2 linked regions of the Nothobranchius furzeri genome follow. Each later gene encodes a partner of the first gene's protein in a complex. Links are inferred from orthologs where the notes say so. Each region holds a gene or a part of one and is shown in the gene's direction. Other genes may lie near its edges.

Region 1 (4,266 bases):
CGAGTGAAATTCTTGTGTGCGAGCTTCACAGCAACAGAGTTGTGCAAAAATACAGTAACGTAAAAACATGTAAAATATAAAAATGGCTAATCCAAATATACAAATGAATAAAGTAAACAATAAGATAAGAGATATAAAATATATAGAGGCTGGTATGTGCAAAACAGTGGCATTAATGTACAGTATGGAATGTGTAATGTTGGAGTTTCAGTAGTGAGGGTGAGGTGTCTGTGAAGTGTTCAGCAGTCTGATGGCCTGATGGAAAAAGCTGTCTCTCAGTCTGCTGGTTCTGGACCGGATGCTGCAGAACCTCCTTCCTGATGGAAGTAGTCTGAACAGTTTATGGCTGGGGTGACTTGAGTCCTTGATGATCCTCCCCGTTTTCCTCAGGCACCGCTTCTTATAGATGTCCTGGAGGGAGGGAAGCTCACCTCCAATAATCCTTTCTGCACACCGCACTACTCTCTGGAGAGCTTTGCGGTTGTAAGCGGTGCTGTTGCCATACCAGGTGGAGATGCATCCAGTGAGGATGCTCTCAATGGCACAGCAATAGAAGGTCCTGAGGATACGGTGGCTCATGCCAAATCTTTTCAGTCTTCTGAGAAAGAAGAGGCGCTGCTGTGCCTTCTTCACTGTATTTTCCGTGTGCACTGACCACGTAAGATCCTCTGCCAGGTGAACTCCAAGGAAACGGAAACTGCTCACCCTCTCCACAGCGTCGCCGTTGATGGTGATGGGGGGGTGTATTCCTCTGCTTCCTCTGCTCCTCCGGAAGTCCACTATCATCTCCTTTGTCTTTGTGACGTTGAGGGTGAGACTGTTGTCCTGACACCAGTGGGTCAGGGCGCTGATCTCCTCCCTGTAGGCCGTCTCATCGTGATTGGTGATGAGACCTATCACTGTGGTGTCGTTCGCATACTTCACAATGATGTTGGAGTTTCTCGTGGCCGTGCAGTCGTAGGTGTAGAGTGAGTACAGGAGAGGGCTCAGCACACACCCCTGCGGTGCACCAGTGTTCAGTGTGACGGGGGATGAGGTGGTGCCGCCCATAACATTATTATTATTATTATTATTATTGGAAAATTTAATAAAACTTGAAGGAAAATGCTAATTCTTTCTATCTATCTATCTATCTATCTATCTATCTATCTATCTATCTATCTATCTATCAATCTATCAATCTATCTATCTATCTATCTATCTATCATCTATCTATCTATCTATCTATCTATCTATCTATCTATCTATCTATCTATCTATCTATCTATCTATCTATCTATCTATCTATCTATCTATCTATCTATCTATCTATCTATCTATCAATCATCTATCTATCTATCTATGCCTATTTTGTTTATGTAATGTAAATGGAAAGATTTTGCGTTCTCTCTCTCTCTCTCTCTCTCTCTCTCTCTCTCTTTCTCTTTCGCGTCACACTTTTTGGTCCTCGTTGTGACTCGTAGCGCACGTGACGGTCAGCTGACTCTAACCGGAAACGTCGATGAAACTGTAAACAATTAAACCTTCTCTCTTTTCGTTTGTTAACGATGGAGTCGACTCTTGAACAGCATCTCGATGACACGTACGTTAAAAATCTCACTCTAACTGCTGACGTACTTCACTTTTTGTTTCATTAAAGCCTTTCTCCTTGTTTTTTTGTAGCATGAAGAATCCAGCAGTTGTCGGTGTGCTCTGCACAGATCACCAAGGACACAACCTGGGCTGTAAGATTAATTTAAAAAAGATTTACAGCAAAATGTATGAAACATATTCGGTTTAGTTAGCTTTTACAAGGCTACGTCAGTGTCGTGTTCTTTTTTTTTTGAATAATGAAATAACTTAGTTGCAGCAAAAGCTATTAATGTAACACACAAATAATATTATTTCCTTCAGTTTAGCTATTTTCATCTGTAAAGGTTGAAATACATACTACAGTATAGTTGAAGTTACTGTGAATCATACATTTCAACCATTAAAATCTCAACTTATTTCACATGCCAGAAAATCTTCACAGTGTTTGCACTGTTAGCATAATGAGATTAGCATTTCTGATGGAATGAGCTCTTCTGGCTGTTTAACAGGTCAACAGGAAGCTGCTGTAATTAAATTTAATCACAAAGGCTAATGAGGTATAATTAAAATTAAAATGTAATGTTTTTATAATTCTCTAAACACAACCAATCCAAAATGATGCTTATAATTGTTTATTGTTGATTATTACTCATAAACTAATAAATACTAAATGCTTAATAACCACGCAGTTAGTTAGTGAGGTCATTTATGAACATTATTCACATACAACAATTACTGTCATTGGGAAAGTGAATACTCCGTGGAATTGATTCTGTGTTACTTGTTTGGCTTCCATGGTTTAGTTTGAACTTTGATCTCTTCTACAATTCATCAAACTTCAGGGAGATGAACATGCTCTAAATTTTACTTAGGCTGTGAATTCAGAACATATCCAGTCCATTTTCATCAGCTGTGCAATGAAACACAAAGCAGAACAACTGATGATAATATAAAGTAATTATTTTACTTCCCAGAGGACTCCTGCAGCAGCTGACAGGTATCATGTGGTCTGAAGAATCACAGCTTGACGGTTGCTGGAGCATAGAACTTGCTGGAGGGGCTGTCTGCCCTCTAGCTGTCTTGATGGAGATGGAGAGTCACTGAGATCAGAGAAATCTGAGCTTCGCTCCTGGACCTGTTAGCAACCCAGACTTTGATAATTGGAAGAAAAATGATGGATATATCAGTATATATATTTTTTCTGTTCGGTTTAATTAATATTTATAACAGAGGCATCCAGCAAAGTCTAAGCTCTTTGTTAGCGTCCTCATACTTTTATTATCTTTTTAGGTCTTGTTGAAAGTTATTTTGAAAAGGTTATGATGTAACTGTTGGAAGTGGGTAAACATGAGTATTGTTTTGTGTAGTCAGTAGCAATGTTTCCCTGGTACATGGACAAACCTAAATGAAATAGTCAAAAGATGCAGAAGACAGAAACCAAACAATGAGTTCAACATGATTCAGATCCTCGAGAGACCCCAGAATTCAGAAATCCTCAGTCTGGACTAAATAACAGCAGTGGGACAGAAATGTTTGTAATATGTTAACAATCCTTCATAAGGAGGTCATTGTTGTATACAGGTTTGGAATTAACACAAATCACAGAAAATGACTGTTTGAAAGATGCACTGATTTCCTTTTTTTAAGACATTTAAATAATTCATTGCGTGTTTCTTTTCTTTTTTCTTTTAGGTCGTGGCTCCTTGTCTGATGAACATGGTGGTGTTGTGTCTGTTTTGTCCAAACAAGCTATGGCGCTCACCAGAGACCCAACAGTCACCCCGACCGTGTGCCTGGAGTCTGAGTCAGGGTGAGAGCACTGACCGGGTTTTAGCTTGACTTGTAATTCTTTTTAAAAATCTATCTCGGGGTATTTAAGATGTACCTTTGGGGGTTCTGATTAATGTGTACGGAGATCAATTACTCTAAAAAAAGCTTTTTGAGAGAGATCAGAACCAGAGACTCAGGGTTCTGAATCTGATCCAGTGGTTCACTGTCTCCCAGCAGCTATTAGCATCCGGGTCCGAGCCTTCATCGCGGTTGCTAAAACCAGTACGCTTATCTGGTTCCTCCAGTTTCTATTTACTTACCAAAGGCAATGCCATTTGTGACTTTGAACTGAACATGCTCGGTTCTTGGCATTAGATTCCAGAATGTTGTTCATTTCTTTCCCAAAAGGCAGCTGAGATATTTTCTTGAGACTCCAAGCCCTTTTTAATTTCCCCTAATAACCTCGTAGACATTTAAATAACCCCATCATCATTAAAAACGGGTCCAAAGTTGAACTACAGAATAAAAAATTAAAAAGCCAATGTCCTCTTTAGTGGACGGAGGCTCCATGGAGGATGGAGAGGGAGGAAGTCAACCAACTGTGGGATTTTATTTATGTCGTTGTGCTGCCATCTTCTGGTAAATGAACATCTCGTCTTTCAGAACATTTTACCAACCCAATGACAGCTCCTGAATATTTATTTATTTAAAATTACTGCTGCGAACTTTCAATCTCAGATATAATTTGTTATCTCAAAAGTCTAAATAACATAAATACAAATACAAACGGTTTTGAGTCCGATTCAAGGCTTATTTTAGCTTTTACATCAGTTATATTCAAACAGTATTTTTAGGTTGTGATTGATCATCTCCACAGCCAGAACTCAGTGTTCCATGAACCACTGGGCCATCGGGACCCCAACT
Region 2 (3,930 bases), on another chromosome or scaffold:
TTTTATCAAAACATCGTTTCTGTTACTGATAAGAAAATGCGTGCGTGAAGCAGCGCGGTGTGTTGAAGCTGTTATCATCAGCTGATCAGGAGCTAAAGAGGTAGATGTTTTCATCCAAGTGCGTCACGGCCCGTGAAGAACGAGGAACACGTGATGAATATCTACGGCTGCAGGTGCGGGTCTGCAGCCGTGCCCTTCTTAGCGTGACAGCGGGACGTCCCGAAGGTCCGCTCAGACGTCCTGATCTTCTACCTTCCTAGATCATCCAGCTGTAACCTGTTTCTGATCATGTCTTTAGTCCCGCTGTAACACTGATGCATCAGTCTCAGACGTCATGGAGCTCAGGTGTTATCAGAACTGTGTGTGTTCACCACCCAGCTTCAGCTCTTCTGTGGTTGGGTCTGACCCAAGTTAGTAAATGTAAGTCCTCCATCAGATCTGTGCCTCTTCTAGTGTCATTTTAAAGGATATTTATTTATTTATTTAACCGTTACTAGATTAGCAGCAACAGAAATGCTGCTAAAAACACACAATTATGTGAAGCTGGAAAAATTAGAATACTGTGCAAAATTACATTTATTTCTGTAATTTAACTAGACTGAGAGACCATTTAAAGGCTCGGGAACCTTTACAGGTGTTTCTATTTGCAATTTTAAATTTTAGCTGATTGGGGTCTTGTTAAATATCACACAGTGACCTTTTAATAGTCTAGATTAGTGTAATGTTCCTATTAGTAGTTCCTCCTGTTAAGTGCATATTTGTTTAAATTATTCAGGTTTATATAAAACATTTGGACATACATTTTATTATGTTCAGTCATTAGTCATTTATATTTTACTATTGTAGTAATTCTTGCATTCTTTAATGAAAAAAGTAACTAAGTAGTTACTTTTGTTGGTAATTAGTTACTTTTATGATCTTGTAACTCAGTTAGTAACTGAGTTACTTTTTTGACAAAGTAATCAGTAACTATAACTAATTACTTTTTTAAAGTAACGTTCCCAACACTGCTTATTATTACAATCATGTCTTCATATACAATACATGATATCCACAAGCACGTGAGGATGTGTTTCAGCTGCTAACAGGCACCAGAATTAAAATTGAAAATTAAACAAGTAACTCTAACGCGATATCTTCAGCCATCCTACACATGCAGGAAATTGTGTCCGACCTAAACGCCGGCTTTCAGCCACTCCCCCTGCTGCTTCCGTCTGCTCTCGTCTGTTTTCCAGGCGAGGCCATCAACTCGAGCACGGCCAATGAAAATCCTTTTTAGTTACGACCGCGAGACAACATTTCCCAAAGTGCAATGCGAAGGAAGCCGGAAATGCGGAAAGACAAGTCAGCTGACTGCCTGGACGCATTGCTCTTCACGTACATCAACATACTATCAAAATACTTCGTGTTTTTTTCTTATTATTATTAAAACCGTTTTTATTCTTTGGTGAGGTCGACAGCGATGTTGCGACCCAAAGCTCTGACGCAGGTCCTCAGCCAAGCGAACACAAACGGAGTCCAGAGCACTCTGTAAGTACGAGTTAGCGACAAGCTAACGAGATGCTAAGATGCTATTTACTCTGACTCTTAGCTGCTTATCGTTTTTTGTACAAGGAAAGCTCGCCCAAAGAAAAATAAGCGTTGTTTTTTGGGAACTCTTAATGCTTAAAAGACATAATTTTAGTTATTTGAATGTAAAACTTGCGCATTTAATGATTTTTATCGTAGCTGTTTTTATAATGTCACAGATTAGAACGCTGTTGCAACAGATCCTAACAAATACCTCGGTTTATAATGATCAATTTCAATGAGATGATTTATAAAATATTTCTAATTTACACATTAGTGTCTAAAATAGTCAACCTTTCTAAATGTTAATTGTATGATGAGGCATTAGCTGCACCATCTAAACATACATCAAGATTATTTCTAACAACACAGATAACTTATGAGTAGGCTGTCTTAGTATGTGTCACGTGTTTATCCTCTCAGCTTGCTGAATAATGAAGGTTCCCTCCTGGCTTACTCTGGTTATGGAGATACCGATGCACGCGTAACAGCTGCCATCGCCAGCAACATCTGGGCAGCTTACGACAAGAATGGCCACCAAGCCTTCAACGAAGACAAGCTTACCTTCATCCTCATGGACTGTATGGTGAGAAACACAGCTCCGATTCAGGCTAAAACATTAGGCTGACCTCAAATTGTAACCTTCTTCTGTGTATTTGTTTTTTTTTAAGGAGGGAAGAGTGGCCATCACTCGTGTAGCCAACCTGCTGCTGTGCATATATGCCAAAGAGACTGTGGGATTCGGGATGCTGAAAGCCAAGGTGAGAGTTCGGGGCCTTTTCTTCTAATTGTTTCCCACGTTTTGCTTTTTATTGGTAAAGATTTTATGTGTTGGAGCTCTTCTGTCAATTGAGTTTAAAGCATTATTTTACAACAGTTGTTTGGATGGCAAAGAAAACTGCTTTTAACTTTGCTTTTAACCCTTTCAACACTTTCTATTGACATATTCTGTTCACATATATTAAACGTAAGTCTTAACTAAAACGTTTTATACTTAAAGGGCTAAAATGTAAGGGCAGATCATTAAATAAACCATTGAATGTGCAAATCATTTGAAACTAATCATTTAAACACAGATTAAACCACTTTTAGTATTTCTGAGGAATGTGCTGAGTGGTTCTAGACTTCTGTTCCACTGTTTAAAACAGGAAGTCCTTTAGAGTGACCCAGGGAGGCACGTGGATGAGGTTCATCAGGTTTGTCCAGCTAGAGCAGCTCATGGAGAACCCAGCTAAATCTGAACTGAGGCTGAAGTTTCTGATCAGTTTAAAGGTCGTACCAGATTTAATCTTTTCCAGTAATTGTGCTTTATTGTGTTTGTAGGCAGAGGCTCTGGTTCAGTATCTGGAGGAACCGTTGACTCAAGTGGCCGCATCGTAGTGAAGATCCGACCAACGCTTCTGTTGGTCTGAACTGAAGAAGAAATCAGCTGTTCAGGTCATCGGTGGACTGCTGTAACCCTCCTGTCCAACACTAAGTGTACAAAGGGCCATGTCTCTAAATGGAGGGGTGTGTGTGTGTGTGTGTGTGTGTGTGTGTGTGTGTGTGTGTGTGTGTGTGTGTGTGTGTGTGTGTGTGTGTGTGTGTGTGTGTGTGTGTGTACAGCTGAAATGTGATTCCATTTTCAGTTTTCACTTGGAATCGGTCCATTCGGTCATAGTTTTGTTGTTCAATGTGAAACTGAACATTTTTAGGAGTCACAGATGTACATCATGATAAAAACGTGTGTGGAGATTTTATATGAATCTTTCTGAAAAATGCAGTTGAGATTGTTATTTACTTGTGTTTTATGTCAAGGTTGTTTGATAAATGAGAGATACTGGCTCAGAGTCACCCATTCTTTTAAATCCTGCTTTGAGCTGGTGACGGTTGGGTGTGTTTCACCCTCGTATACACCTCTGAACGTTTTTAAACAATTTTAAATATGCAGTATCAGGTGAGATAAACTTAAATTTGCTCTGAAAATCTTGTGAAAGGGAGAATTTGCGGGTTTAGAGAAGCTTACCTTGCTTGTCTTTGAGTTTCATCACCAGATAATTTTATTTCTTTCAGTAATCACAGATTTCACAAAAATCTGATGAAACTTTTCACTCTTTCAGTATCCAATACTTTAAAAACAAAACCTTTTTTAATAAGTCAGAAGATCTGGGTAACTTAAAAGCTAAGAAAACTCACGAGTGCATGTGCATTCTGTTTAACTCCATTTAATCAACTAATGAGTTTTAATTGATACCAGTTAGTGATTTTCTCTTGAGGCATTAGCATCAAATATACTTTCTCACCTGCAGCCAGATAAAGAAAGTCTCAGCTTTCAAAATAAAAATTTTAATCACCCAAACCTGGAGTTAAATGCCTATACAG

What was found.
Region 2: lamtor5 (region 1) and lamtor2 share a complex: the UniProt entries of both Homo sapiens proteins name them as parts of the ragulator complex. The link is inferred for Nothobranchius furzeri from reciprocal best matches to the Homo sapiens genes LAMTOR5 and LAMTOR2.

What each region holds. Positions count from the first base shown.
Region 1 is NC_091755.1:27,982,158-27,986,423, forward strand, and holds the start of lamtor5 (ragulator complex protein LAMTOR5), read left to right. Parts: upstream 1-1,440; 5' UTR 1,441-1,547; coding exon 1,548-1,582; intron 1,583-1,662; coding exon 1,663-1,724; intron 1,725-3,264; coding exon 3,265-3,382; intron 3,383-4,266. UniProt on the Homo sapiens protein: As part of the Ragulator complex it is involved in amino acid sensing and activation of mTORC1, a signaling complex promoting cell growth in response to growth factors, energy levels, and amino acids.
Region 2 is NC_091745.1:61,225,380-61,229,309, reverse strand, and holds lamtor2 (ragulator complex protein LAMTOR2), read left to right. Parts: upstream 1-1,245; 5' UTR 1,246-1,462; coding exon 1,463-1,530; intron 1,531-1,992; coding exon 1,993-2,155; intron 2,156-2,240; coding exon 2,241-2,330; intron 2,331-2,892; coding exon 2,893-2,949; 3' UTR 2,950-3,391; downstream 3,392-3,930. UniProt on the Homo sapiens protein: As part of the Ragulator complex it is involved in amino acid sensing and activation of mTORC1, a signaling complex promoting cell growth in response to growth factors, energy levels, and amino acids.